Linked DNA regions of Canis lupus familiaris. The protein of the gene in region 5 purifies or fractionates together with the protein of the main gene of each other region. This does not show direct contact. Links are inferred from orthologs where the notes say so. Each region holds a gene or a part of one and is shown on either strand. Other genes may lie near its edges.

Region 1 (3,946 bases), on a different chromosome or scaffold from region 5:
TCCATCCACGTCTAAGCAAATGGTGGGTATTTGTCGTTTCTAATGGCTGAGTAATATTCCATTGTATACATAAACCACATCTTCTTTATCCATTCATCTTTCGATGGACACCGAGGCTCCTTCCACAGTTTGGCTATTGTGGTCATTGCTGCTATAAACATTGGGGTGCAGGGGGACATGAATTCTTATTAAGATCTGTCTATCCTCGGGGATCCCTGGGTGGCTCAGTGGTTTAGCACCCGCCTTTGGCCCAGGGCGCGATCCTGGAGTCCCGGGATCGAGTCCTGCGTCGGGGTCCCTGCATGGAGTCTGCTTCTGCCTCTGCCTGGGTCTCTGCCTCTCTCTCTCTCTGTCTCACATGAATGAATAAATAAATAATCTTTTTTAAAAGGAAGATAATAAGAATCCCTACTCAGTAGTGTCACAATGAGGGTCATAGTGAGAATTGAATTGGACTTTGTATCTTAGAATAGAATCTGGAACAAAGTTCAACACGGTTTAAGCGTTTGCTATTGTAACAGAATCATTACAACCTCTGCAGCTGCCGTGCTGCGGTCATCATCTCCCCACAGCCATTCCTTTCTTAGGTCGTTCAGGTTGGGGACGGGAGGATGGGGGGGTAGACCTGAGAGGAACGCACAGATGAACCAGACTTCTCATTTCATTGCACTAGAACAGACTTACAAATATTGGTTTCTGCAACCACACCTGGCCCAGAGTAGTTGCTCAGAATGCTTGCTGAATGAATAAACAAATGTCTTCCTACCAAACCGCAAGCTCTTTAAAGGCAGGTACTACTTCCTGGCTGTTGTGTTACTGGGACCAGGGACGGTGAGGCACCCAGCAGGCACAGAGATCATCCAACAAAGGAATGAATGAAGAAATAAATGACTGCAGACAGAAAATCATTAAGGGCGCAAAGGTGGCGCAGAAGTAGTCCTGCAGGAAGGCTGTCGCCGGTTTGAGGGAAGGAGGGAGAGTAGCAAGAGAGGCGGCGGCCGAAGGTCTTCCACGTTAGGTCTGCCGCGCTCCCGCTTCGGGATTGGCTGAGCCGCCCGCGCACTCGGCGGCACGCCCCGCCCCCGCCCCGGCCCCGCCCCCGCCCCGCCCCGGCCCCGCCCCCGCCCCGGCCCCGCCCCGCCCCGCTGCTCACGTGACCGCGCGGCGGGCGTGCGGAGCGGCGGGCTGAGCTCGGCCGGCGCGCAGGGGCCATGGCGGGCGTGGTGGACTTCCAGGACGAGGAGCAGGTGAAGTCCTTCCTGGAGAACATGGAGGTGGAGTGCAACTACCAGTGCTACCGCGAGAAGGACCCCGACGGTGAGTGCCGCCGGCGCGGGCTGCGGACACGTGGGGAGGGACTTGCGTGTGTCGGTGGCTGGGACGCCCATAGAGGCCGCCCAGAGCGGCCAGTACCTTTAGCTGGTTTTCTCCTTCCTACTTCATTTTTATACGGGGAAAACATGGCACTGGCCTTCCCTTCTGATAGCCTGCAGCCTGTTTTCTAGATTAGGATGTAGCTATTTCTTGATGCTGACAGACTGACCAGGGTTGTTGTGCAGTGCGATGGCTGAGCCAGGGTGGCTCGGTCCTGGGAAGAGTGGGAGTCCCTAGGAGCAGGACAGCGGGGAAGGACTTGTGGGCGAGGGCGGGGAGCGGGGGCCGGGGGCGCAGACGAGGTCGGCTGAGTGGAGGCCAGGGCGGGAGAGGAGATGGCTGCCTTCCAGGTGCTGCCGAAGGCTGCCGTTAGAAAGAAGGTTGAAGAGGGAACCCGGGCTGCAGTGTATCAGGTAAGGCACTTAGATTTCATTGTGTAGGCAGTGGAGAGCCTTAGGTGTTTTTTTTTTTTTTTTAAGATTTTATTTATTTATTCATGAGACCCAGAGAGAGAGAGAGAGGCAGAGACACAGGCAGAGGGAGAAGCAGGCTCCACGCAGGGAGCCCGACGTGGGACTCGATCCCGGGTCTCCAGGGTCAGCCCTGGGCTGCAGGCGGCGCTAACCCGCTGAGCCACGTGGTGCCGCCCGCAGGAGAGTGCGCTGAGTAGGGCCGCGGGGAGGAGGGCTGCAGCGCGTTCGGGAGGCTGCAGTTCCTGTAGCTGCTATCCTTTGAAGCCTTCCTGACGCTCCCCAGAATTACTGAGATAGCTGCCTAACCCGACTGTTTGCATGCTCACTCCCTAAAAATCTGTTCTCTACCCTCAAACTGATAGTTACATTTTCATCTGTCCTATTAAATGCTATCTTATTCGATGTTTAAATGACAAGACAGCCCGTTTGTTGTTGTCAGTGCAGAGTGTACCCCCTCCAGCATTTTGTTCCATTTTCATCCTGACATATACAAACATACGCTGGAATGACCTTTTAAAATGCAAATTGAATCATATCACTGCTCTTCTTAAAACCCTCCAGTGGTTTGCCTTTGACCTGCAATAAAATCCTAAGTCCTTCCTGTGTTCCACAATGCCCTGGTCCCTGCCTTTCTCTCCTCATTTCCTTTTTTTTTTTTTTTTTTAATATTTTATTTATTTATACCTGAGAGACAGAGAGAGAGGCACAGGCAGAGGAAGAAAGAAAGGCAGAGGAAGAAGCAGGCTCCACGCAGGGAGCCCAATGCGGGACTCGATCCTAGAACCCCAGGATCACACCCTGAACTGAAGGCAGAAGCTCAACCACGGAGCCACCCCAGCGTCCCTCTCTCATTTCCTACCCGTTTCCATCTCCATCCACATTATTCCGTATTTGTACTAAGTTTATTCCCTCTTTGAGGCCTTTTAATTTATTGTTTCTTGTGCCTGAGACTTTCTGCCCCCTTCCATTTCATTATCTTTAAATAGCTAGTTCATTCTTGTTATTCACATTTAAACTTACACATGGTCCTTAGGCCCTCCTTGATTGCCCAGTTTATGGTAATTATTCCCCCAGCGTGCACAACAAACTATCTTATCCTGTTTATTTCAATCATATAACGTTTATTACTGTTGAAATGCGTCTTAAAAAAATAAATCTATCTTGCTCACCTATTTACTTATTTCTTCCCCCTCCTGTAGAATGTAATTTTTAGGAAAGCAAGTGACTATTCCTAGCATCTACAACAGTGTAAGGTACGCAGTTGCACATAGATGCTCAAACATTTGTTGAATGAAAGTGAATGAGATGAGTATTATTTGAGATGAAGAAGAAGGAACAGAGACAGAGGGGAGAGATATTGGGAGGAGGCTCACTGGGACTAGAGACTGCCAAAGAGAGTCTGTTTCTAACTCTTTTAGTAGCTTCTATTCCTAGTCTGTCTTTGGACTTCTCATTCTCAGCCTGGCTGAGGAGTATAGCACCCCTTTCTTGCTACAACAGGGACTAGCCCATAGACCATTTTGGTTTCCAGTGTTTTATTGCTGAACTTCCTGGGAAGCCCCAACCAAAGGCAGCAAAGTTTCAATCATGGAAGTCTGAGTCTTTGGCCTTGGGTGACAGGGAACAGAAGGGCTCCACCACAGTGGCTGGTGAGTGGCAGAGCCAATAGAGCAGCCGTGGTCACTCCAGCTTGTATGTGGTTCAGTCCCTGGCTGAGGGCAGATGACACCATTTGTAGGAATAGCTGGACACCACTTGCATTCTTTGTGGTGAGATCACCTTGCCACACCTCAGGAGAACAGAGGCTGGTCCTAAATGAAAGACACACTCTGGCCTGCCACACCTCAGCCCTCCCCACTGCTGTGCAGCAGCACCAGACATGAAGAGCAGCTCTTGCTTTTTCCTCACAGGATGCTATCGCCTGGTGGACTATTTGGAAGGGATCCAGAAGAATTTTGAGGAGGCTGCCAAGGTGCTGAAGTTCAACTGTGAAGAGAACAAACACAGCGATAGCTGCTACAAACTGGGGGCCTATTATGTGACGGGGAAAGGTAAGGAGGCGCCTGCTTTCTTTGGTCATTATCATGGATAGTAATGCT
Region 2 (4,193 bases), on a different chromosome or scaffold from region 5:
CCTCTCTCTCTCTGTGTGGCTCTATGAATAAATAAAATCGGAAAAAAAAAAAAAAATCCAGTGTCACCAACACTGGATTTCTAGACCTAGGCACAACAGCTAAGTATATAAATTGATGCCAGCCATTTAATCTGATTTTTTTGTATAGGTCTTTCCCTAATAAAAGGCAAATTCCCTAAGAGTAAAGAATACATATTAACTTAATGTATACATCTATCGAACACCTATTCTGTGCCAACATAGGTATAGGTACTGGATTCTCTTACCTGTCTTGTGATCCACTTAATTCCTCTGTATTTTTCAAATTCCCAAACTAATTGTCTAACATCCAGAGCTCATGCCTCTTCCCGGTACTGATGACCTGCAAGCCTCTTACGCTATTGGCTACGAATCCACTGCCTCTAACGTCACGTCTTTGGGGCCACCCTTAGAGTTTAGAAAACATCTACAGCAGAAAATCTGGTTTGACAAGAGTTTAGCTTTACCTCAAAGTTAAAGTGATCAGGGCTGGTATTTGTAACGTTGCTAGGTGTGGGAGGCAGGAACGGCAGCGCTAGAATTATGCATTCTTATTACCTAAAGAGGGGGAAAACCCTAAGCAATATGTAGGTGTTAAAGTCATCGTGCCTCTGATTTCGAGATTCCTCATTTGTTTCTTGGGAAAGCCAAACCCGTAAGTTTCCTTCCTGAGCCTTTACAAGAATCCTGTGTAACGCAGTGAACGGACTATTCACAATAATACGAACATCATCTTCTCTGCTCAGCAACACGTAGTAGAACCGCTTGTCCTTTCTTTTTAAAGATGTCCCCAAAAACCGGAGTTCCGCAAGTTTGTAGCCCAGCTTCTACACACACACACACACACACACACACACACACACACAAAACTGCACCGGTTAATGTTTTAAAGAGATCCCTTAACATGCGCTAATAACGTTCATAACGTGCACTTTGCACATCGGCACTACAAAGGTTCACATCCTTTAATGATGACATTATGAGGCTTTTATGATGTTTAAGAGTGAGCCACAGTAACAGGCACCTTATAAAAGAAATCGTTAAAGAAAGGCCAGGCATCACTCAGTGTACCGATCGTCGCAGCAGTTTCTCCGAGAAGAATTAAATCCCACAATTTCTTTCCACCCCCCCCCCCCACCCGCCTCCCCCCAGGAAAAGGCAGCATTGGCAGAAGTTATCTTCATGAAGACTCCTATAGAAACACTTGGAAAGGCAGGGCTAAGGCAGCGGTCAAATCAGAACGACTCCGGGGCGGCGAGGACTCCAAGCTGGGCACCCGACTCTCGCTCGGCGGGCCTTCCCGGGGGGCTCGGGGGCGGCGGGCAGCACCCGCGCCTCCCGCGTGCGGGCAGCGGCGGCCGGAGCCGCTGGGGCCGGGGAGGCAATCCGCGCTGCCGGCTGTCCCCTCCCCCCAGGCCAAGGACAGCGACGTCGTCCTCCCGCTTCTCCTCCTCTTTGGTGCCTTCAGCCAGGAGGCGGGAGTGACCCGCAGCAGCTGACCCGGCATCGGCACTGCCTCTCCCACAGCCCTCAGGACAAGCCATGGGCCCAGAGGCGGCTTCGCAGCACGGCAGCGACGACGCAGGCGGCGGCCCCGGCGCCTCTCAACTGCCTCCCTGACCGCCGCAACCACACCCTCGCAACAGCCATCGCCACCAACGCCAGGAGAACCGACCGACGCGCCCCCCCGCTCCGCAAACCACCTTCGCGATCGCCTCAAGCTACGTCAACAACTATGGCGGGCGACGGGCGGCGGGCGGAGCCGGGGAGGGAAGGCTGGCGGATGTACGTCACACCCCGCGCCCCCCTACGGGAGGGAAGGCGCCGGCTCGCCCCTCAAAATGGCGGCGGCAGTGACGCGCCTGCGTACGGGACTCCTTCGCCGTCGCGCCACGGCCGGCGGGAAGTGAGGTTCTCGGAAGAGCCGCCAGAAGTGTACGGCGACTTCGAGCCCCCGGTGGCCAAGGAAAAGTCCCCGGGGAGAAGACGGCTCTCGCTAGAAGAGTTCCGGCCTGAGTCTGCGAAAGGGGAAGTGCGAGGAAGCGCCTACTACCTTCGGTCTCGGCAGCGGAGGCAGCCGCGACTCCAAGGAGCCGAGGAGATGAACACGCGAAGGGCGACCCGCCTGCAGGAGCAGCAGCAGCAGCAGCAGCAGCAGCAGTCACCGTCTCCGGTGACGACCAGGAGAGGGTTACGGGACTTTCATCCGTCTGACGGTGAGTGAGGCCGCCGGAGGGAGCAGTGTCCGCGGCGAGCCGGGGGGCGAGCGCAGCGCGCGGGCGGGGGCGGGGCGTGTGCGCGTGCGTCCCGGCGCAGCCCCTCGCAGCCCCTCGCCGCGCAGCTCATCCCGCCGGGGCTCCCGGGGCTCGCGGCGCGGGGGCCCCCCGACCGACCGACCGACCGCCCGACCGCCCGCAGGCGGGGCGGGGACGCAGGCGGGAGGGCTGCAGAGGCTCGGGGGCGCGACCTGAGCGGCGAGCTCCGCGCCTCGCCGGGCACCGGCCTGCGGGGGAGGAGGGGGCTCCGGCTCGCCTCTCTCTGCAGGCCTTGGCGGGGGGCAGGGGGGTGACGGCGGCTCGGGGGGCCAGCGGGCAGGGAGACACTCCAGGCTCGCTTTCACTTCGGTTCCCTCCGTTCTGCGGATGTTGCTACCAAAGCCACTTCCATTTCCTCTAACTCTCAGAGGCCACGAGTCCCCAGCTGAGAGTGATGCTTCTCGGGTAGCCTCCCAGGCTTTTCTCCATCGCTACCGAGGTCGGGGGAGGAGGAGGGAGAAATTGGGTGAGTGGGCGTTTGGAGGGAGCGCGCCGTTTTTTAAATGGACTTGAGACCCCACCCGAATACTTCTACCGAGGTGGGGGTAAGGCGAGTTATCCTGAACTTGAAGATCCCTAATGCCTGATAAACTTGAGCTGATCGCTCTTTCTCAAGCAGGGTGGTCTCTGCAAAAAATCGCCACGTGTTTGTTTTTTTTTTTTTTTTTTGCGGGGGGGGGGGGGCGGGCTTCGATGCAACCTCATGGGTTACTTAGCTTGACCAAGGAAGATTCTGAGTTAGTTTTCCTCTAAATGGGCCGAAAGGATGTTGGCAAAGTGAGCGTGTGGATTAGGTGAGGCACAGGTGAAGCAACTCCCTTGAGCCATCCTCTCCCGCCCACTTCCCTGTCCCCTATCTGAATCACGGGTGTAGTTTCGTGGGAGGCCCACGTAAGGCACCAATGAGGTAAAAATCCAGGGGGTTTGAATCACAAAGTGATTGCATCCTTAGTGGTAGACCATGGATAGATAGGAAGAAGGAAGTGGACCTTCAGCTCGCAGCAGAGCTGTAGGCAACGCTCGTATCTGCTGACCCATGCAGCACTGACACATCTGAAGATGCCTTGATTTTGAAAACTTTATTTTAAAGAAAATGTTAACTTAATATGGGGTGGAGCTTACTCCAGACATTTTAGCCTATGTGTATGTTCTATCTCTCTTTTAGAATTAGAAACTTACTGAGGACAAGGATCCCATCCTATTTGAAGTTAATTCCATCTCCTTCAGTATCTGAAGAGCGCTTTGCCGACGATAGGCAACAAATAGGTTACATTGTATTGACTCTGGCACAGATCCTCCTGCAGTTATAGAAGCTGACTTTTTTAATACATAAAGGATTTACTTCTGTTTTAATAAATCTATAAGGATCTTAAACATTTTGCACACTTCTGCTTTCTTCGACGTTTCTGAAACTCTGGACCATCTTTTAAATTTCTAAATTAATATGGTTTTATTATAAAGCATCAAAGGTGAATAGTTTATATTTTTAAGAGTAGTAGTTTTGGTGGACCTAATTACACATTTCTAAAGAATTACTTGCCTTTCTGTTTATATATTGCTGTTAGGGTGCATAATCTGGACCCAAATGTCAATCTGTTTTGAATTTTGACATATGTAATGTCTGTTCTTTAGAGGATGAACCATCTACACAAACTATTTTAAGCCAAGCAGTCCCGAAGAAAACTATCCAGAGAATACAAGAAACTCCAGGTAAGAAAAGCGATTGTTTTTTGCCTTATCTGCCAGCTTTTTTTTTTTTTTTTTTAAGATCTTAATTTATTTATTCATGAGAGATACAGAGAGAGAGGCAGAGACACAGGCAGAGGGAGAGGCAGGCTCCTGGTGGGGAGCCTGATGCGG
Region 3 (4,182 bases), on a different chromosome or scaffold from region 5:
CATTTTCCTGTATAGATGTCATACCTTAATTTTATTGAAAAAAAATTTTTTTTAAGTAACCTCTACACCCAAGGTGGGGCTCAAATTCAGGAGGATGGCTGGGTGGGGGGTGGGGGGAGGTTTGGAATCAAGAGTTGAATACTCTACTGACTGAGCCAGCTAGGGGCCCCTGTTATACCTTAAATTTTTTTTAAAGTGTGTGTCTATGAATTGAGAAATATTTATTTTATTTATTTTTAGTTTTTAACTTTTTTATTTTTAAAGATTTTATTTATTTATTCATGAGAGACACAGAGAGAGGGGGGCAGAAAGAGGAAAGGCAGGGTCCATGCAAGGAGCCTGATGCGGGACTCCATCCCGGAATCTGGGATCAGGCCCTGAGCCAAAGGCAGATGCTCAACCACTGGGCCACCCAGGCGCCCCTATTTTATTATTTTTTTAATATTTTATTTATTTATTCATGAGAGACACACAGAGAGAAAGGCTCCATGCAGGGAGCCCTATGTGGGACTCCATCCGAGGTCTCCAGGATCACACCCTGGGCTGAAGGCGCCGCTAAACCGCTGAGCCACTGGGGCAGACCTATACCTTACTTTTTTTTTCTATACCTTAATTTTAAAAAAGATTTTATCTATTTGAGAGAGAACGCACGCGCTCAAATGTGCACGTGGGGAGAGGCAGAGGAGGGAGAGGGCGAGAATCTCAAGCCCATTCTGCACTGAGCTGGGGGCCAGGGCAGGGCTCTGTCTCATGACCCTGAACCGACCGAGCCACCCAGGCACCTCTAGCTTAATTTTCAAGGATTGGGGCACCGGGTTTGCGAAAGAGGAGTCCTTGGAGGAGACATGAGGGCTGAATTTAGGATCCTGACTTTCTTGGGCAGTGAGGGAAGCATACAGTGACCAGCCATACAGCGTCCGGCCCACCTCCTCCAATGGGCAGCGGACGCTTTGCATCTTGTACACTTTGTTTACTGGGAAATCCCTTGAGAAACAAAAGGATTGGGGGCGGGTTTCTGTGGTGTAGGGGTTCAGATGGAGCAACGCACGCACGGGGTCTGGAGAGAGCAGCTCACAGCCCCTTCCTCCTCCTCGCTCTGATGCACTAGGTTAGCCCCGGCGGCAGCCAACGTTGCTCTTGTTCATCTCTCTGGGCCGGGGCGTCTGGAAGTTGCGCGGACCCGGCTCGTCCTCCTGCGAGCCCGGAGACAGCTTAGCACCTGCGGGCCGCTGCGCTCCCTCCGTCCGGGGAGCTCTGGCTCGCAACCTCGGCTGCACCAAGAAACCGCCCGAGGTCAACTGAAACATTTACTGAAGTCTGCGTCCTGCTCCCAGAGGTTCTGATTTGCTTGGTATGAAGCGAGGCATGGGCATCGGGGCACTGGGAGCGGCCCGGGCGACCGTAACGAGCAGCACAGACACTACGGCCTTGGAGGGCGTCCTTCCTTCTCCGCGCCGCGCCGGGGTCTGTGACCCGCCGTCGAGCCTCGGGGGCTGCGGCCAAGCTTCGCGGAGCCCCGCCCTCCGGCGCCCGCCTACAGACAGTCGCACTGTGACCTCTCCGCCGAAACCCTGGGGACGGCACCGCCAGGCTGCAGGCGCTCTGCACTGCGCCCAAGCCTCTATGGTATTTTGGCGTCCCCTCTAGCCCTTGCAAGTCGCCTTCGGGCACGGCCGGCGGCTCCTCTCTATGGTAGCCGATTTCCCCGCGCCGCCTCGTAGGGGCTTCACTCCGGAAGCGAGTCCGATCAAAGGGGAGGCGGGACTTCCCTCCCGGAAGTGACCCACGTGCTTCCGCCTTAGCCTACCTGGGCGTGCGGCGGCTGTCTAGCGTTTGCGCGAAGTTGAGGACACCGCGGGCACAGTGACTGGCCCCAGGCCGTGGTAAGTGACCGCTCGCTTCAAGGTGACCCCGATGCACCTCGCCGCCACGTCAGAGGTGCAGCCCCTGGGCCGGGACCCGTGGACCTTTAGCACCGCGTGTGATCGAATTCCCAGGGCCCTGGAGGTTCAGGCCCCGCGGTTCAGTGTTCCTTTCCGGTCCCGAGATCTTTTCCTGGGTAGAGTGGCCACGAGGGGCTGGGGCGCCAGGGCTCGATTTCCAGCCCCTCCATTGACGTGCTGTGTTCCCCTTCCGGGCCTCAGTTTCCATATCTGTGAGATGGGATAGTTGAGCCCACTGAGGTCAGTGACCCCTGCCCGCCCGGTGTCCTATGATTGTTCCGCATCCTCTACGTCCCCCTGGGATGGGAAACGGAACGGGAGGGCTCGAAGCTGACGGTGATGTCCGCTCCCAGGACTAGGAGGCCAGGAGATCTTTCCCACGGCGCAGCGCTGAGATGGATCCGCTCAGGGCCCAGCAGCTGGCTGCCGAGCTGGAGGTGGAGATGATGGCCGATATGTACAACAGGTGAGAGCCGACAGCGCGCTCCTTGTCTTTGACAGTGATCCTAGGTCACCCTTCCTCAGGGCACCTGTCGGAGGGTGCGCACCCCCACCTACGCTCCTCGTGGCTGAGGGCCAATGCAGACGCGGTACGGGTCGCTAGAAGGAGTTGGACATCTAGGTTGGAATGCACTTGGCAAGCGAGAGAAGCCCCAGTCCAAGCTCTGGTTGGCTTTCAGGAACGGTTGAGCGTTTGCCTTTGTGGCAAACAGCACGCAGCCCGCTTGGTGGTTTACATTTCTTAAACTCTTACTCCACCTCGGGCACATGCTGAGCATTCTACGCGCCTTCATCTTTTGTGATCTTCAAAATGATCCACCGGGTCGGTCTTAGTTGTCCCATTCTAAGGTGAAGACATGGAGGCTTCTAGAGGTTAAATAACATTCACAGGGCTCACAGTTGGTCAGTAGCAATGTCAGGACCAGGACCTCGGTCTGACTCCAAACGAGTGCCCACAACCATTTGGCAGATGCGGGAACAAATCATAACTGCGCCAATCACCACTAGTGTGGCCGTGGGCAAGTCACTTGGACTGCTTAGTGGTTTTCCTGTCTATAAAATGGAGGTGGGGCACATGATGGTGCAGTTGGTTGAGCATCTGACTCTTGATTTCATTGCAGGTCGTGATCTCAGGGTCATGGGATTGAGCCTCACATTGGGCTCTGCACTCAGCAGGGAGCCTGCTTGACATTCTCCCTCTCCCTCTCCCCTGTTTGCCCACACACATGCCCGCGCAAGTGCTCGCTCTCTCTTTCTCAAATACATAATACTAGTTCTTTTTAAATAAATGAATAAATATTGCTTCTAATCCTTTTGGCTAAGATCAAGTGTAAAAAAATAAATAAATAAAATGGAGATAATAATGGTGCCTACCTCAAGGAGACATTATAGATGTTAAATGTAGAAATGTGTGACAAGGGGTGCCTGGGTGGCTTAGTCGGTTAAGTGTCTGCCTTCAGCTCAGGTTATGGTCCTGGGATCGAGCCCCACGTCCAGCTCCCTGCTCAGTGGGATGTCTGCTTCTCCATTTCCCTCTGCCCCTCTCGTTGCTTGTGCTCACTCTCTCTCTCTTAAATAAATAAATAAAATCTTTTTTTTTTAAAGATGTATTTATTTATTCATGAGAGACACAGAGAAAGAGACAGAGACACAGGCAGAGGGAGAAGCAGGCTCCTCGCAGGGAGCGTGATGACTCAATTTCAGATCCCCGGATCACAACCTGAGCCAAAGGCAGATGCCCAACCACTGAGCCACCCAGGCGTCCCATAGATAAATAAATTCTTAAAAAAAAGAAATGTATATAACAAGCTCTTATTGGGTTTGTATCATGCCCAGTACAAAGTAAGCAGTCCACATGTTTTCTGGTTTTATTGGCTTCAGCTCCATGGTATTTTCTCTTGATGGCTTATCTTGAAGGCTGTATATTAGAATACTTCCAAATATTTAAATAATTTAAAAATGCAGGCCATGAGGTCCTGTGGGTTCATATCCCAGCTTTACAGGATCCTGAGGCTCTCCATGCCTGCATTTCCTTATCTGTAAAATGGGGATAAAGATTGTGCCTGCCTCACAGGGTCATTGTAAGGACTGCATAACCAGCCATGTCAAGCACTTAGCATGATGCCTGGAACATACCCAGTAGTCAACTAATGGCTCCTGTTTAAATAAACTTGGGCTCAGATCAGGTGAGCACTCTCAAGGACCTTCTCAGTTAAGATGCGAACTGAGGATTTACACT
Region 4 (4,204 bases), on a different chromosome or scaffold from region 5:
ACACACAGAGAGAGGCAGAGACACAGGCAGAGGGAGAAGCAGGCTCCCTGAAAGGAGCCCGATGCGGGACTTGATCCCAGGACCCTGGGATCACGCCCTGGACCAAAGGGAGGCGCTCAACCACTGAGCCCCCCAGGCGTCCCTCCCGGAAGTCATCTTGCCATTCCTTGCCATTACTCCAAATCCTCCACGACTTTCCTGCCACAGAAGGTAGGTATTAAAACAAAGTCCTTGTGGGGCACTTGAAGACTATGTACCATCTGACCTCCCACTCACCCCTGACCCTCCTTAGCTCCAGCACTCGGCTTCCTTGCTGTTCCTGGGACTTCCCAGGTTGCCTCTGCACTTGGGACCTTGCCCTCCTCCTATGGAGCAGAACTTGGGACAAATGGAAGCCATTGCCTGGAGCAGCAAGGGCAAGCCCTGTCCACCACGGCAAGTTTGACACAAAACACACCGAAGCCACGCCCTTGGCCACTCCTCCATTATTTTATTTTGGTTTCAAGCTCTGAGATTGGTTCCACAAAGCCTCTTGACAGGCCTGGTACAGGTATGTGCTGGATGGGAGGCGGGCAGCAGCGTTGGTGGACTGTCAGAGAAGCAGCCTGCCTGTGCTTTCCTTGTAGACATTGAGCAGGGAGGAGAGCTCAACCCCCAGACCTCTTTTCTGAACTGCAAACAGCACACAGCCTGTAGAGTTACAGTCACTGCAGCCGGCCCTTGCTACACGGTCATGGCTGGGAGACAATGGTCTACCTCAAGGAGCAGGACAGGGAGCCCTAGCAGGCCTGTCACATTCCTGTGTAGGGAAGCGGGCACCAGGGTGTGGGGTGAGCAGGACACCACATCCCAAACGTAAGGCACAGCCTGGGCTGCTCCCTCTCGTTCACCTACAGCCGCACGGGGCCTTGGCTGAGGAAGGGCCGTCGAGGTGTCTGCAGCAGGCACCTCTGCTCTGACTACAAACCTAAGAGGAAAGGGCCCCATGAGCAGTCTCTGGGGACGATCCAACTGAGACACAACAGGCTCTGGCTCTGATGCACTTTAATGAGTGCCCCATCCCCCTCTGGCCAGGCTGCCCGCAGGCCCGGACTGCTGTTCCACAGCTCTGCCGGCCACTATCTAGTCACAGGAGCCATCCTTCCAGCCATCGCGCCAGCGCTCGTCCACTTGTGAGCAGTCGAAGTCCGGCTTGCCTAGTTTGCGGTTCACTTCATTGTGCAGGCGGCACAGCCACTGGGTCAAGCAGGCCCGAGTGCGCGTGTCCGGCTGGTTCCTGCATATCCTGTGTGAGGGAAGCATGTGACGATGGGGACAGGCAGTGGCCCCACTGCCCCTACCCCATCAGTTCCTTGCCTGCTGGATCCAGGGAGGAGAGCTTGGGTATTGCTGCCAGCTACACCCATGAGCCCTCTCATGCTCTGAGAGGTAGGCATGCCCGGAACAGGCCTGATCCTGCTCTGTCCACCACTGGCCCACTCCTAGGCCTGCTCAACCCCTTATCTATGGAGCTCAGTAAACCCAAGACATTAAGGCACTCGTCATGCAACTTTACAACCTCATGCAACTTTACAACCTCGTAACAATCAGGAAGCCTCACCCCAGCATCCCTGGCCCCGGGCAGTGTGTGAAAGGGGTGGCGCCAGCACAAAGGCATAACTGGAAACCAGACCTGTTGCTAGCACCTGGGGCCCTTGGGCCTCAGCCTAGCAAGAGACCTGTTCTAACTGCCCAGGTTCAAATGGCAAGGGCTGCCCCAGGCCCCGCATCCAGGCCAGAAACACCTGTGGGTGCCAAATAACAGCTCTTGCGCTCCCCAGTGAAGGAAAGGTGGCTGCTGGGAGCAAAAGCAGTGGGTTCTCAAGCCTTACATGCAGCAGTCCTGCTATAGAAGTCAGGCAAAGTGGACTCATCCACCTGCCCGTGCCCCTAGGAGTTCCAAGCAGGGACCTCTGTACGTGAAGCCCCACCAGGAGCCTTCTGGCTGCGACAGCAGCAGTGCCCAGCAGCAGCCCTCAGCAGCAGCCCCAGGCAGCTGGGCCTCTGAGGGGAAAGGAGACGGCTTAGCTGGCCCCTGCTCTGGGCAAGCCGCGGCCACCGCTGCCCCTTTATGACATCAGCAGGGGCCCCAGGCTCCAGGTGGGACAGCTCCGCCGCCGACAGGCAAGGTAGACACACTCACCTCTTCCGGATGTCTTCAGCACACTCCTCGCACGGGTAAAACTTGGAAAATAAATGTATGAACTGGGTCATGTCTCGCTGCTGTTCTGGGGTGGGCAGATCGGGGTAGTAGGCGGCCAGGGTGTGCAGGACAGCCCAGCTGTGGCGGCCCAGTTCCTCGCGATCCTCAGGACAATCCTCCCTGAACTTGCCGTCCCGCTGCGGGCGGAGGCCGACCAAGGGTCAGGGCAGGTCGTGTCCGGGGCCCGACGCCCACGCGGCTCCCCCGCCGCGCCCCGCCCCGCCCGGGCGCGACCCCGCGCGCGAACGGCTGAAAGGCTGCAGGCCGGGCTCCCCAGGGGCATCTGACCTTCTGCTGCGTCCGCATCCACGTCTTGAAGTCCACGCAGGCCCGGCAGGGCCGCCTCCGGGAAGGGTCCTCGGCGACCTGGGGCTCGGGGGTCGGCGCGGGGGCCGAGGCTGCGGCGGACGCATCTCTCCGCCCCGCGCCCCGGCCGCGCGCGTCCGTCACCAGGTCGTCCATCACCTCCGAGCGCGCGCCGCCGGGCAGGAAGGAGAAAAGGCTCCCGCCGCCGGAGCGGCTCCGCTCGCCGGGCGCCGCCATGTTGCCCGCGCAAGGCCTGCCGGGCCAGCTGGGCCTCCAGAGGGGCCTCCAAGTCGGCCTCCAGGCCAGCGCGCGCGCCGCCGCCAGGGCGCGGCCACAGGAGCCGGGCAAGGGCGCAGGCGCAGGCGCGGAGGCCGGGCTGGAGCTGGGAGCGGGGCCGGGGGCGGGGCCGGCTGCCGGCGGGGGGGCGGGGCCGGGTCCGGGGCTTGCGGAGCGCGCCGGAGAGGCGGCCGAGCCTGAGGCCGGGGTGCGGGTGGGCGCGGGCGCGGGGCTGGCGACCCGGGTCCTGGCCGGGCTCCCGGGCTTCGGTCCCCGTCCCGAGCCCGGCTTGCGTCGTCCGTGGCGGCGCTCCCGCTTCCTCCAGTAGAAGAGTAGCGTGTTGTGGAAGCCGCGCCGCGGCCGCGCCGTGGACTCCGGCTGCGGCCGGGGCGAAGTCCGTGTTGCGGCCCGGGACGCCCCCATCGCTCCGCTCCGACCGCCCCGCGTGCCCGCGGCCAGGCTCTGTGCCCTCGGCGGGGCGCGCCCTGCGGTCGGCAGACGGGCGCCTCGGCAACGCGGAGCGGCGCGGTGAGCGCACAGAGCGCGGCGCGCCGGGGCCTGGGTCCCCCGGGTCGGCCCGGGCAACGGGCGCCATGGCAACGGGCGCCGGGGCTGCGGGGCGGGGCGGGGCCTGCACAGCCGGCGGCGCGGGCCTGGGGCTCCCGGGGCTGCCTGGGGGCGCTGTCCACGTCCCCGTCGGGAGCGGCCTCAGCCTCCGCGCGCTCGTGCGTCACCTGCACCTGTCTGTGCGGCGTCTGCTCTGTTCCAAGTCCTGGCCCGGGCGCTGGGCAGGGCGGGGCCCGAGATCCGTCCCTGACCCCCGGCTCACTGTCCAGTGGTCAGCGGTGAGAGTCGGGGCGCCCGGGGGGCTCAGCGGTTGAGCACGTGCCTTTGGCTCAGGGCGTGACCCTGGAGACCCAGGACTGAGTCCCGCATCGGGCTCCCCGCAGGGAGCCTGGTTCTCCCTCAGCCTGTGTCTCTGCCTCTCTCTGTGTGTCTCATGAATGAATAAATAAAATAAAATCTTAAAAAAAGAAAAAAAAAAAGAAACAAGGGAGTCACAGTAACACGTCCACTGACAAGCTCTGGTGGGGACCACGAACAGGGAGTGGCTAATCCCGGAGGCCTCCTTGAGGAGTGACACTTAGGCAGAGGCCTGAAAGATGAGGACTCAGTGGAGGAAGGCCGTCAAGGCCAAGGCTGGAGGTGGGCATGGGCAGAAGCCAGTGGCACAGGACCTGGGGAAGGTGGTGGGAGGAGAGATCTAAAGGTGGGCGGGAGCACATGCAGGGCCTTGTCGCTGCCATGGGAGCTGGGAATTGAGCAGATTTCATAGGAGCTAGTGAGGAGCTCGGGCGGGGAAGGGGGAGGGCAGGTATC
Region 5 (4,168 bases):
CAGTGCCCAGAACATGGTGGGTAATCAAAATGTGTTGAACAAATAAATGTAGAACGGAGAAACCAAACTGAAGACCTCAGCAAAGAACAGGAAGACAGAATCATTACTACCATTCAGTAGATTACAGCAAAACAACCTTGGATGGGTGGTCTCATTGCTCCCAGAAAGGGGAACGGAATACACGGAATCTTTACATGTCAAAATCTTCAGCAGATCCAACCCGGAAAGAGTGCCCATCTCTTCCCCAATGCTAAGAAGCAGATCATGTCATCTGTGCTCACCAGCACCTGCTCAGAGGCTGGCACATCACCGGGGCTCAATAAATGTTTGCTGAGGAACTGGAGAAAGCAGACAGCAATAGAGAAGAGGAAACAAAAAGAAGGACTGGTGTAGCACTGATACTGAAAAGTGTGGGTGGTCTCAGGCCAGGGAGAAAGGAAGAGTCCACACTATGGAACACCTTGGAAGCCAAAGCTTTTAACCCGAAAGCTGGAGGGTGGGGGGTGGGGACCCTTGAAGTAAATTTGCACAGGCAAGTGACTGATTCAGAACTCAGAATGAAGAGCCAGCCGTGGGAATAGCTGAAGGACAGAGGTATCAGGCAAAGTACAACCAAGATGCAAGTGTGGCTCAGCAATGATGGGGTAGTTAGAAATCAGGCTGGAGAGGCACCTGGGTGGTTCAGGTGGTTAAGGTTCTGCCTTGGCTCACGTCATGATCTCGGGGTCCTGGGATGGAGCCCATGCATTGGGCTTCCTGCTTAGTGGGGAATCTGCCGCTCCCTCTCCATCTGCCGTTCCCCCTGCTTGTGCTCTCTCCCCCTCTCAAATAAATAAATAAAATCTTAAAAGAAATCAATCAATCAACCAACCAGTCAGGCTGGAGCCATATAAGGTAGGGGCTTTCAATTCTCATCCCCAAATTAGAGACAGATCTTTGACCCAGAAAAAGATAAAGATCCATGCTTTGGTGGCAGATGGAAACTACCTTTCCTTCCCAAAAAAACCTGACTCCTAGATATCCTTACAGGCAAGGAGAGGTCTTACTCATCTGCATAGCCTCATTATATCTAAAAAGCTCAAAATTATTTGCTAAATGAAGTAAATCAGAAACCCAGAGGAAAAAAAAAAAGAAAGAAAGAAAAAAGAAAAGAAACCCAGAGAAAGAAAATTTTAAAAAAAGAGGTCTACTAACAAAGTGGTGAGGGCAGAGAACTTTTGTTCATGGCACCACTATTTATCACTAAAAATAGTACTCAGGAGAGACATCAGTGAGTATTAGAAAAATATAGTATTATGGCTTTATGACCCCAGAAAGGAGTGGGTCCAAAAGCAGAATGAGGTACTGGGGAAAAAGCTTGACATTTTAGACTGAGCTGTTCTAACAGGATGTATGAAAGACCTTGGGTAGGTCATCTCCTCTGGTCTTCAGATCCCTGAAACAAACTAAGGGAACCAGACTGACTATTCACCAAAGAATTTCTGGGTGAGTTCCAACTCTCTGTGTAGCTTTACTTTCTCATGTGTCCACCATTCCTATCAACAGGCACAGCCAAGATGCCCGTGAGTGATCTGCTAAATGAATGAAGACCAACTTCTCATCTTACAAGACTGGAAACTGGGGCCTGGTTAGATGGCAGCTCAGGGACAGAAAGCTAGTTAGTGGCAGTGTGTGGGGAGGCCCTGGGACTCCTGGGTTCTTCAGCAGAGGTAGGAACAGATGAAGGAAACCGGAGAGAGGTGGGAGGAGATGGGCACTTTGCTGGAGAAGTGGAGGTGGTGGTGGAGGTGATAGAGGTGGTGGGAATGTTTGCTGGAGGTGGAGGTGGAGGTGGTAGAGGTGGAGGTGGTGGTGGAGATGGTGGAGGTGGTGGAGGTGGTGGTGGAGGAGGAGGTGGAGGAGGTGGTGGAGGTGGTAGTGGAGGAGGTGGAGGAGGAGGAGGAGGAGGTGGAGGTGGAGGTGGTGGAGGTGGAGGTGGTGGAGGTGGAGGTGGAGGTGGTGGAGGTGGAGGTGGTGGAGGTGGAGGTGGTGCTGTTCCAGCTGAGAGCTCCTGGAATCCAAGGGGCACCAGACTGGGCGGTGATCAGGACTGCGGCAGCTCGAACCCCAGCTCCAGGGCCGACGGGGTCCGGTGCCTCAGGCGTAGTAGGCGCTCGGTAGATGCACCCGTGGGTGGCACGTTGAGCACTCCTGTACAGCGCGTGCGGAGGAAAACGCGCGACGTGTGGTCAAAAGCGGTAGTAAAAACAATAAATCCCCAATTACAAGCCAGAGAAAGCGGGCTGAGCACTTCCCGTGCCCCCCCCAGTTTACAAGGCTCCCACGTGCCGATCCTACGGAGGTCCGGGTTCGAGGCTCAGAGTGACCTTGGACCAGCCTCATTCCTCCCGGTCTCCGTCCTCTCATTTGCAAGGCGGAGGTGGCGGCCCCACCGCCAGGCCCTCCCAAGGGTCCCGAAGAGGGGGCCCCGGGCCGCGCCTGCAGCCGCCCGCGCCCGCAATGGGGTCGCGGGACGCCGGGGCCTGCACGGCCGCGGGGGGGCAGCCCCGCATGTCCCCTGCAGGCCCTCGTAGGCCGGTCTCCATGGCAGCCCGACCTCCCTACCTTCCTGCCGGCAGTAGGCCATGGCTGCAGCCCCGGGGCTCAGACCTGGCGGCGGTAGCGGTGGTGGCGGCACAGGCGGCAGCGGGCTCACGCGGTGACCTCTTCTTAGGCAGGGCGGGCGGCGCCGAGGCCCACGCGGACCCGCCCCCTCCAGGCCTGCCCGCCGCGCGCCTGCCTCCGCGCCCTCCCAGCCCCAGCCCGGCCCCTCTCAGCCGGGAACTACATTCCCCAGGGATCCGCGCGCGGCTCGGGGCGCTGAGGCAGTAGGAACTACATATCCCTTCATGACTTGCGGTGCGCAGGCGCATCAGTGAGGTCCGCGGCGCGTTGCAGCGTGGTGGCTACGGCGCCTGCCCCGGAACTACATATTCCAGGAGGCCTTGCGGCGCGCTGGAGCGGGAGGGCGGTGGCTCGCGGGCCGGTGACTGCTGCGCGTCCTCCCTGATTCTGGGGTTCACGCGAATTCTCGCAGCTCCGGAGCAGGCGGGAGGCCGCCGGGCTCTGCCCGCAGGCGGCCAGCCCCTCCCGTAGCCGAGCAGAGCGAGGGCGAGCGCCCGGCCGGGTCGCAGGATGGCCGCGAACGTGAGTGTCTCCCGGTCCGCCGGACCCCGCAGGCTTCCCCGCTCCTCGTAGCGGCCGCCGGGGTCCGGCTTGGCGGCCTGGCGCCCTCTGCGGGGCCTTGTCCGGCCGTCCGGGCCGCGCGTTTGCGGGGCGGGGGTCTCAGGAGACGCGGTGGGTGCGCGTCGGGGTCTGTGCCAGGGCCCCTCCCGCAGCCCCTGCGTCGCTCTGGGTTCCCGCCTGGGCCCTTGCGCTCCTCCTGCAGGGGCTGCGGGGGCCGGCGCGACCTCCGAGGAGCCAGGGAAGCCGGGACCGCCCGGGCGGGCCCCATCTGCGGACGGACGGACTGCGGTGTGCGGGCGGCGGTGGGATGCCGCGGGAGGGTGCGGGCGGGAGTGCGCGGAGGACCGGGAGCAGGCGGACCCGCGGCCCGGCCCTTGTGCCCTCGGTGTGTTTGGCTGGAGGGGCCCTGGCCGAAGGTGGTTCCCTGCAGAGGCCTCCTGCCGTGTCTCCCCGCAGCCAGCCTGCCTCGGGGACTTCGCGATGTACGCCCAGCATTCATTCAACAAACCGAGCAGCGCCTCCCACCAGGGTGCTGGGTGTGGGAAGGCTGGTGACTCACCACTCCCCTCCTCTGTGCAAGTGCTTCTGGAGCCAGCCCTGGTGCCCTGCCAGCCCCAGGACACTCCCTCCCTCCTGCTTTGCTGGAGTGGCCTAGCCACTGTCCCCTGGCCTGTTACACCCTCTTTCCAGCCTCTCTAATGTCCCCGAGGGTCCTCCCTGCCCTCCACGCCCCTGGAGAGGCAGGGTTTGTATCACCCACAGCCCTAGGACGCTCCACCTCAGCCAGAGTTGTCTGGGAGACCTAGAAGTCGTGAATGCTGCGCCTAGGAAAGCCTCAGGGGTGGCCCAAGACCCAGGGGCTGCCAGGGGAGAGGACAGTCAGGAGACCAGCCTGCCCCCAGAGGTAGACCCCTGTCTGCCCTCATACAATATTTTACAGATT
Region 6 (3,479 bases), on a different chromosome or scaffold from region 5:
TCCTGGAGTTCCAGGATTGAGTCCCACATCGGGCTCCCTGCACTGAGCCTGCTTCTTCCTCTACCTATGTCTCTTCTTTTCTGTCTCTCATGAATAAATAAAATCTTAAAAAAAAGAAAGAAAGAAAGAAAGAAAGAACCTTGAAGCTGGGGCACAGGCCTGTCTGGAGGATGGGTGAAAAAGAGGGCATCCTTCTGGGCCAGACCTCGTGCTGGGTAATAGGGAACAGCACGGACTGGGAGCTATGGGCAGAATACCTCCAGGGCAGTAGGTTAAGTGCAGTTGGGGACCAGAGGCCAGCAGCCCTGGTGGGGAGAAAGGGTGGGGGACAAGGTCTCGGGAGATGCTCAAGGATACCTTCAACTCTTTTCAAAAGCACAGGGAAAGCCAGTCCAGGCTTCCCTCATCCAAGGATGAACCATACCCAGCTGGGCAGGGGCTCATATTCATTCATTCCGGAGGTGTCCAGCAGTTCTGCACTCCAGGCACAGGCCACAGGGCATCTTTACAAACCTAAGCTTTATTGACAGTCACATGCCACCAGGACAAGCTCTGAGGTGCAGGGCCCCTGCCCTTTGCCCACTTCCCTGGCTGGGGCAGCAAGGTGAGGCCACTCTCATGGTGTGGAGACAAGGGAGCAGGGCCTTTCTGGCAGCACCGGGATGGGGGGTGGTGGCGACCTCAGGCCCTGAACAGAACTGACCCAGAGCCTGCACTCCCCAAGTCCTGCATGAGTACAAGGCCGGGACGTGCCCAGAGGTTTCCTTGTCACCTGGGGCAGGTGGAGCTTGGCAACAGCCTCTTGGTACCTGAGACACTGAAAGGGGGCAGCTGGTGCCAAAAAGAGTAAAGACGCTGAGGATAGTCGGAGGCCCAGCCACTGCCGGGCACAGTAGAGGCAGGCCCCTCCCCAGAACGGCCCCATCAGCTGTCCTTAGCTCCGCTGCTCTTCTGCTCTGAGGCTGTGGCCTTGGTCAAGTTCCCAGCTTCCCTCTTCAGGACACTAAGCAGAGTCTGCGAGCTCTCCAGGATCTGGAAACAGACGTAGGATGGTCACCACCACTCCTCGCCAGCACTGAGCTGTGGGGCAGCAGTGCAATGAAGCCCCTGAAGGGCAGGTCAGACAGGGTCAGCAGGGCCCGTTCCCCCTAAGACTAGCCCAAAGCCCCTTCCTCGCACCCCAGGGAAGCCAGTCTAGGTTAGCTGAGCCCGGGGCCGCTCTTTGCTCATGGTCTGGGAGGACAATGGTGCAGAAAACAGGACTCCTGACCTGCCAGGCCCCCGACAGCCTCACTGACACCTAACCGGGATCCTGTCGCCCCTGCGTTTGGCCGGCCCTAGACTCCCCCGGGGCCCCAGCCCCACCTTGAGGTAGGCGGCTTCTGTCTCCGCGATGGTCCGGTCAAACTCGTTTCTAGAGGCAATCTTGCGGGCCAGGTTCTCGTTGACGCGAGCCAGTTTCTCGGTCAGCTGCCTCACTTCATTCTGCAGCCGCTGCTTCTCGTCTTCCTCCTGCTGGATCTGCCGGCACAACTCCTCCCGCTTCTGGCACAACTCCTCGATGCCTGGGATGGGCGAGCGGGAGGGCACACGCTGTGGACCCAGGGCAGGAGGGAGCACAGCACCCCTCCCACTCTGGAGCGTGCCCGGTGCACTGGACGGTGCGCACCCCTCGCACCCTGGACCGTGCGGGGGGCGGGAGGCGGTGCACGCTCTCCCCTTCCGCTCTGTCCCTCACTGCGCAGATACCCGGCGCCCGGGCGAGCGGCACAGCGGCTGTCCCCCTGGCTCGCCCGCAAGGCCCCCGGCGCCGTCCCGGCCGAGGCCCCACGCACGGACGGTGCAGCCCGTTGGGCCACGCGCGGCAGGCCCGCCACCGCCTGGACCCGCAGGCCGGCGAGCCCCGCGCCCTCCCAGCCCACCAGGCGGACCCCGCCGCGAGGCCGCTCACACTTGACCAGTTCGTTGTTATAATTCTGCAGCGCTGCGCCCTGCTGGGTCATGGTGACCGCCCAGGCCGCGACCACCCCAACCGCCGCTACTGCATCGCCGCTCCCGCCTGCGCGGTGCGTCCGACGGCGCGCCCTCCGAAACGTCACCGCTGCGCGCCGCTCGTGTGCGTCATCGCCGCGCGCCGCACCCGGAGCTCGGGGGACCTGGAGGGGGCCGCGCAGATGGCGGCGGCGGGGCGCGACGGCGACCCCGGGCCCGCACAGGAGCTGTTGCTGGCCTGGAACACCGTGAGCACCGGGCTAGTGCCGCCGGCCGCGCTCGGACTGGTGAGGCCCCGGGAGAGGGCAGCGGGCCCGCGCGGGGTCCCTGGGACGTCCGCCGGGTGGGCGTTGTGCTCCCGGACAGCTCCTACCTGGCGTCGGCCGCAGCCTCCCCTCCGCTGCGTCCCTTCCCCACTGCTCCCCGTCCGTCCCCGCGCTTTCCGCGTCCCTCCGCGTTCCCTTCTCACGGTTTTCTGCACCGCAGGCGTCCTCCCGCACCAGCGGTGCGGTGCCGCCGAAGGAGGAGGAGCTCCGGGCGGCGGTGGAGGTGTTGAGGGGCCACGGCTTGCACTCGGTGCTGGAGGAGTGGTTTGTGGAGGTGCTGCAGAACGACCTGCAGGCCCACATCTCGCTCGAGTTCTGGAATACCATCTCCCAGCGTGAGAACTGTGCGGACGAGCCCCAGTGCCTTCTGCTGCTCCTTGACGCCTTCGGCCTGCTGGAGAGTCGCCTGGACCCCTACCTGCGTAGCCTGGAGCTGCTGGAGAAGTGGACTCGCCTGGGCTTGCTGATGGGCGCAGGCGCTCAGGGGCTTCGGGAGAAAGTCCATACCACCTTGCGGGGCGTCCTGTTCTTTTCCACTCCCAGAATGTTTCAGGAGATGATTCAGCGCCTCTACGGGCGGTTTTTGAGAGTCTACATGCAGAGTAAGAGGAAGGGGGAAGGGGGCACAGACCCGGAACTAGAGGGGGAGTTGGACAGCAGGTACGCCCGCCGGCGGTACTACAGACTTCTGCAGAGCCCCCTGTGTGCGGGGTGTGGCAGTGACAAACAGCAATGCTGGTGCCGCCAGGCCCTGGAGCAGTTTCACCAGCTCAGCCAGGTCCTGTGAGTACTTGTGGCTGTGGCCATTTCCCTGTTCTTCTTGACTCTAGATTACTTTCCTGGGTCCAGCGGCCTCTTCAGAAAGCTGGTGAGCTGGCTCTGGGGAGGGGGGCATCTCTGCCCTGACAGTCCTGGACATTACAAAGGGACAGTCCCCAGGGTCCCTGTGCTGTGAATTTATACTCTTTGTCCTGGATAAAAAGAACAAGTATCTCTGCCACTCACGCTAATCTCAGGTTTCACACTGCGTGCACACCAAGACCCTATGTGATTCCAGATTTCCGGTCACATACAAGTCTGCTGTGTCTTCTGTAGGCTCTCCAGGGAAGGGAAGATAGTTATCCTCTCCTATAATTGCAAAAAAAAAAAAAAGAGAGATTT

Evidence for each region.
Region 1: the proteins of CHCHD4 (region 5) and COA7 purify together in Homo sapiens (co-immunoprecipitation; 3 studies listed by BioGRID and IntAct, with this or other methods). This does not show direct contact. The link is inferred for Canis lupus familiaris from reciprocal best matches to the Homo sapiens genes CHCHD4 and COA7.
Region 2: the proteins of CHCHD4 (region 5) and TOR1AIP1 purify together in Homo sapiens (co-immunoprecipitation; 3 studies listed by BioGRID and IntAct, with this or other methods). This does not show direct contact. The link is inferred for Canis lupus familiaris from reciprocal best matches to the Homo sapiens genes CHCHD4 and TOR1AIP1.
Region 3: the proteins of CHCHD4 (region 5) and TIMM10 purify together in Homo sapiens (co-immunoprecipitation; 4 studies listed by BioGRID and IntAct, with this or other methods). This does not show direct contact. The link is inferred for Canis lupus familiaris from reciprocal best matches to the Homo sapiens genes CHCHD4 and TIMM10.
Region 4: the proteins of CHCHD4 (region 5) and GFER purify together in Homo sapiens (co-immunoprecipitation; 3 studies listed by BioGRID and IntAct, with this or other methods). This does not show direct contact. The link is inferred for Canis lupus familiaris from reciprocal best matches to the Homo sapiens genes CHCHD4 and GFER.
Region 6: the proteins of CHCHD4 (region 5) and SSNA1 purify together in Homo sapiens (co-immunoprecipitation; 3 studies listed by BioGRID and IntAct, with this or other methods). This does not show direct contact. The link is inferred for Canis lupus familiaris from reciprocal best matches to the Homo sapiens genes CHCHD4 and SSNA1.

Annotation. Positions count from the first base shown.
Region 1 is NC_049236.1:8,747,056-8,751,001, forward strand, and holds the start of COA7 (cytochrome c oxidase assembly factor 7), read left to right. Parts: upstream 1-1,146; 5' UTR 1,147-1,211; coding exon 1,212-1,317; intron 1,318-3,757; coding exon 3,758-3,898; intron 3,899-3,946. UniProt on the Homo sapiens protein: Required for assembly of mitochondrial respiratory chain complex I and complex IV.
Region 2 is NC_049228.1:13,320,737-13,324,929, forward strand, and holds the start of TOR1AIP1 (torsin-1A-interacting protein 1), read left to right. Parts: upstream 1-1,393; 5' UTR 1,394-1,753; coding exon 1,754-2,234; exon of another isoform or gene 2,235-2,236; intron 2,237-3,965; coding exon 3,966-4,043; intron 4,044-4,193. UniProt on the Homo sapiens protein: Required for nuclear membrane integrity. Induces TOR1A and TOR1B ATPase activity and is required for their location on the nuclear membrane. Binds to A- and B-type lamins. Possible role in membrane attachment and assembly of the nuclear lamina.
Region 3 is NC_049239.1:39,105,536-39,109,717, forward strand, and holds the start of TIMM10 (mitochondrial import inner membrane translocase subunit Tim10), read left to right. Parts: upstream 1-1,382; 5' UTR 1,383-1,883; intron 1,884-2,296; 5' UTR 2,297-2,338; coding exon 2,339-2,409; intron 2,410-4,182.
Region 4 is NC_049227.1:39,393,445-39,397,648, forward strand, and holds GFER (FAD-linked sulfhydryl oxidase ALR), read right to left. Parts: upstream 2,801-4,204; 5' UTR 2,786-2,800; coding exon 2,531-2,785; intron 2,380-2,530; coding exon 2,183-2,379; intron 1,286-2,182; coding exon 1,123-1,285; 3' UTR 471-1,122; downstream 1-470. Other genes in the region: NOXO1 (NADPH oxidase organizer 1), read left to right, coding at 3,988-4,030.
Region 5 is NC_049241.1:4,306,388-4,310,555, forward strand, and holds the start of CHCHD4 (mitochondrial intermembrane space import and assembly protein 40), read right to left. Parts: upstream 2,801-4,168; 5' UTR 2,627-2,800; coding exon 2,605-2,626; intron 1-2,604. Other genes in the region: TMEM43 (transmembrane protein 43), read left to right, coding at 3,175-3,186.
Region 6 is NC_049230.1:48,461,680-48,465,158, forward strand, and holds SSNA1 (Sjoegren syndrome nuclear autoantigen 1), read right to left. Parts: upstream 2,112-3,479; 5' UTR 2,004-2,111; coding exon 1,952-2,003; intron 1,566-1,951; coding exon 1,366-1,565; intron 1,033-1,365; coding exon 925-1,032; 3' UTR 501-924; downstream 1-500. Other genes in the region: ANAPC2 (anaphase-promoting complex subunit 2), read left to right, coding at 2,175-2,279, 2,479-3,101. UniProt on the Homo sapiens protein: Microtubule-binding protein which stabilizes dynamic microtubules by slowing growth and shrinkage at both plus and minus ends and serves as a sensor of microtubule damage, protecting microtubules from the microtubule-severing enzyme SPAST.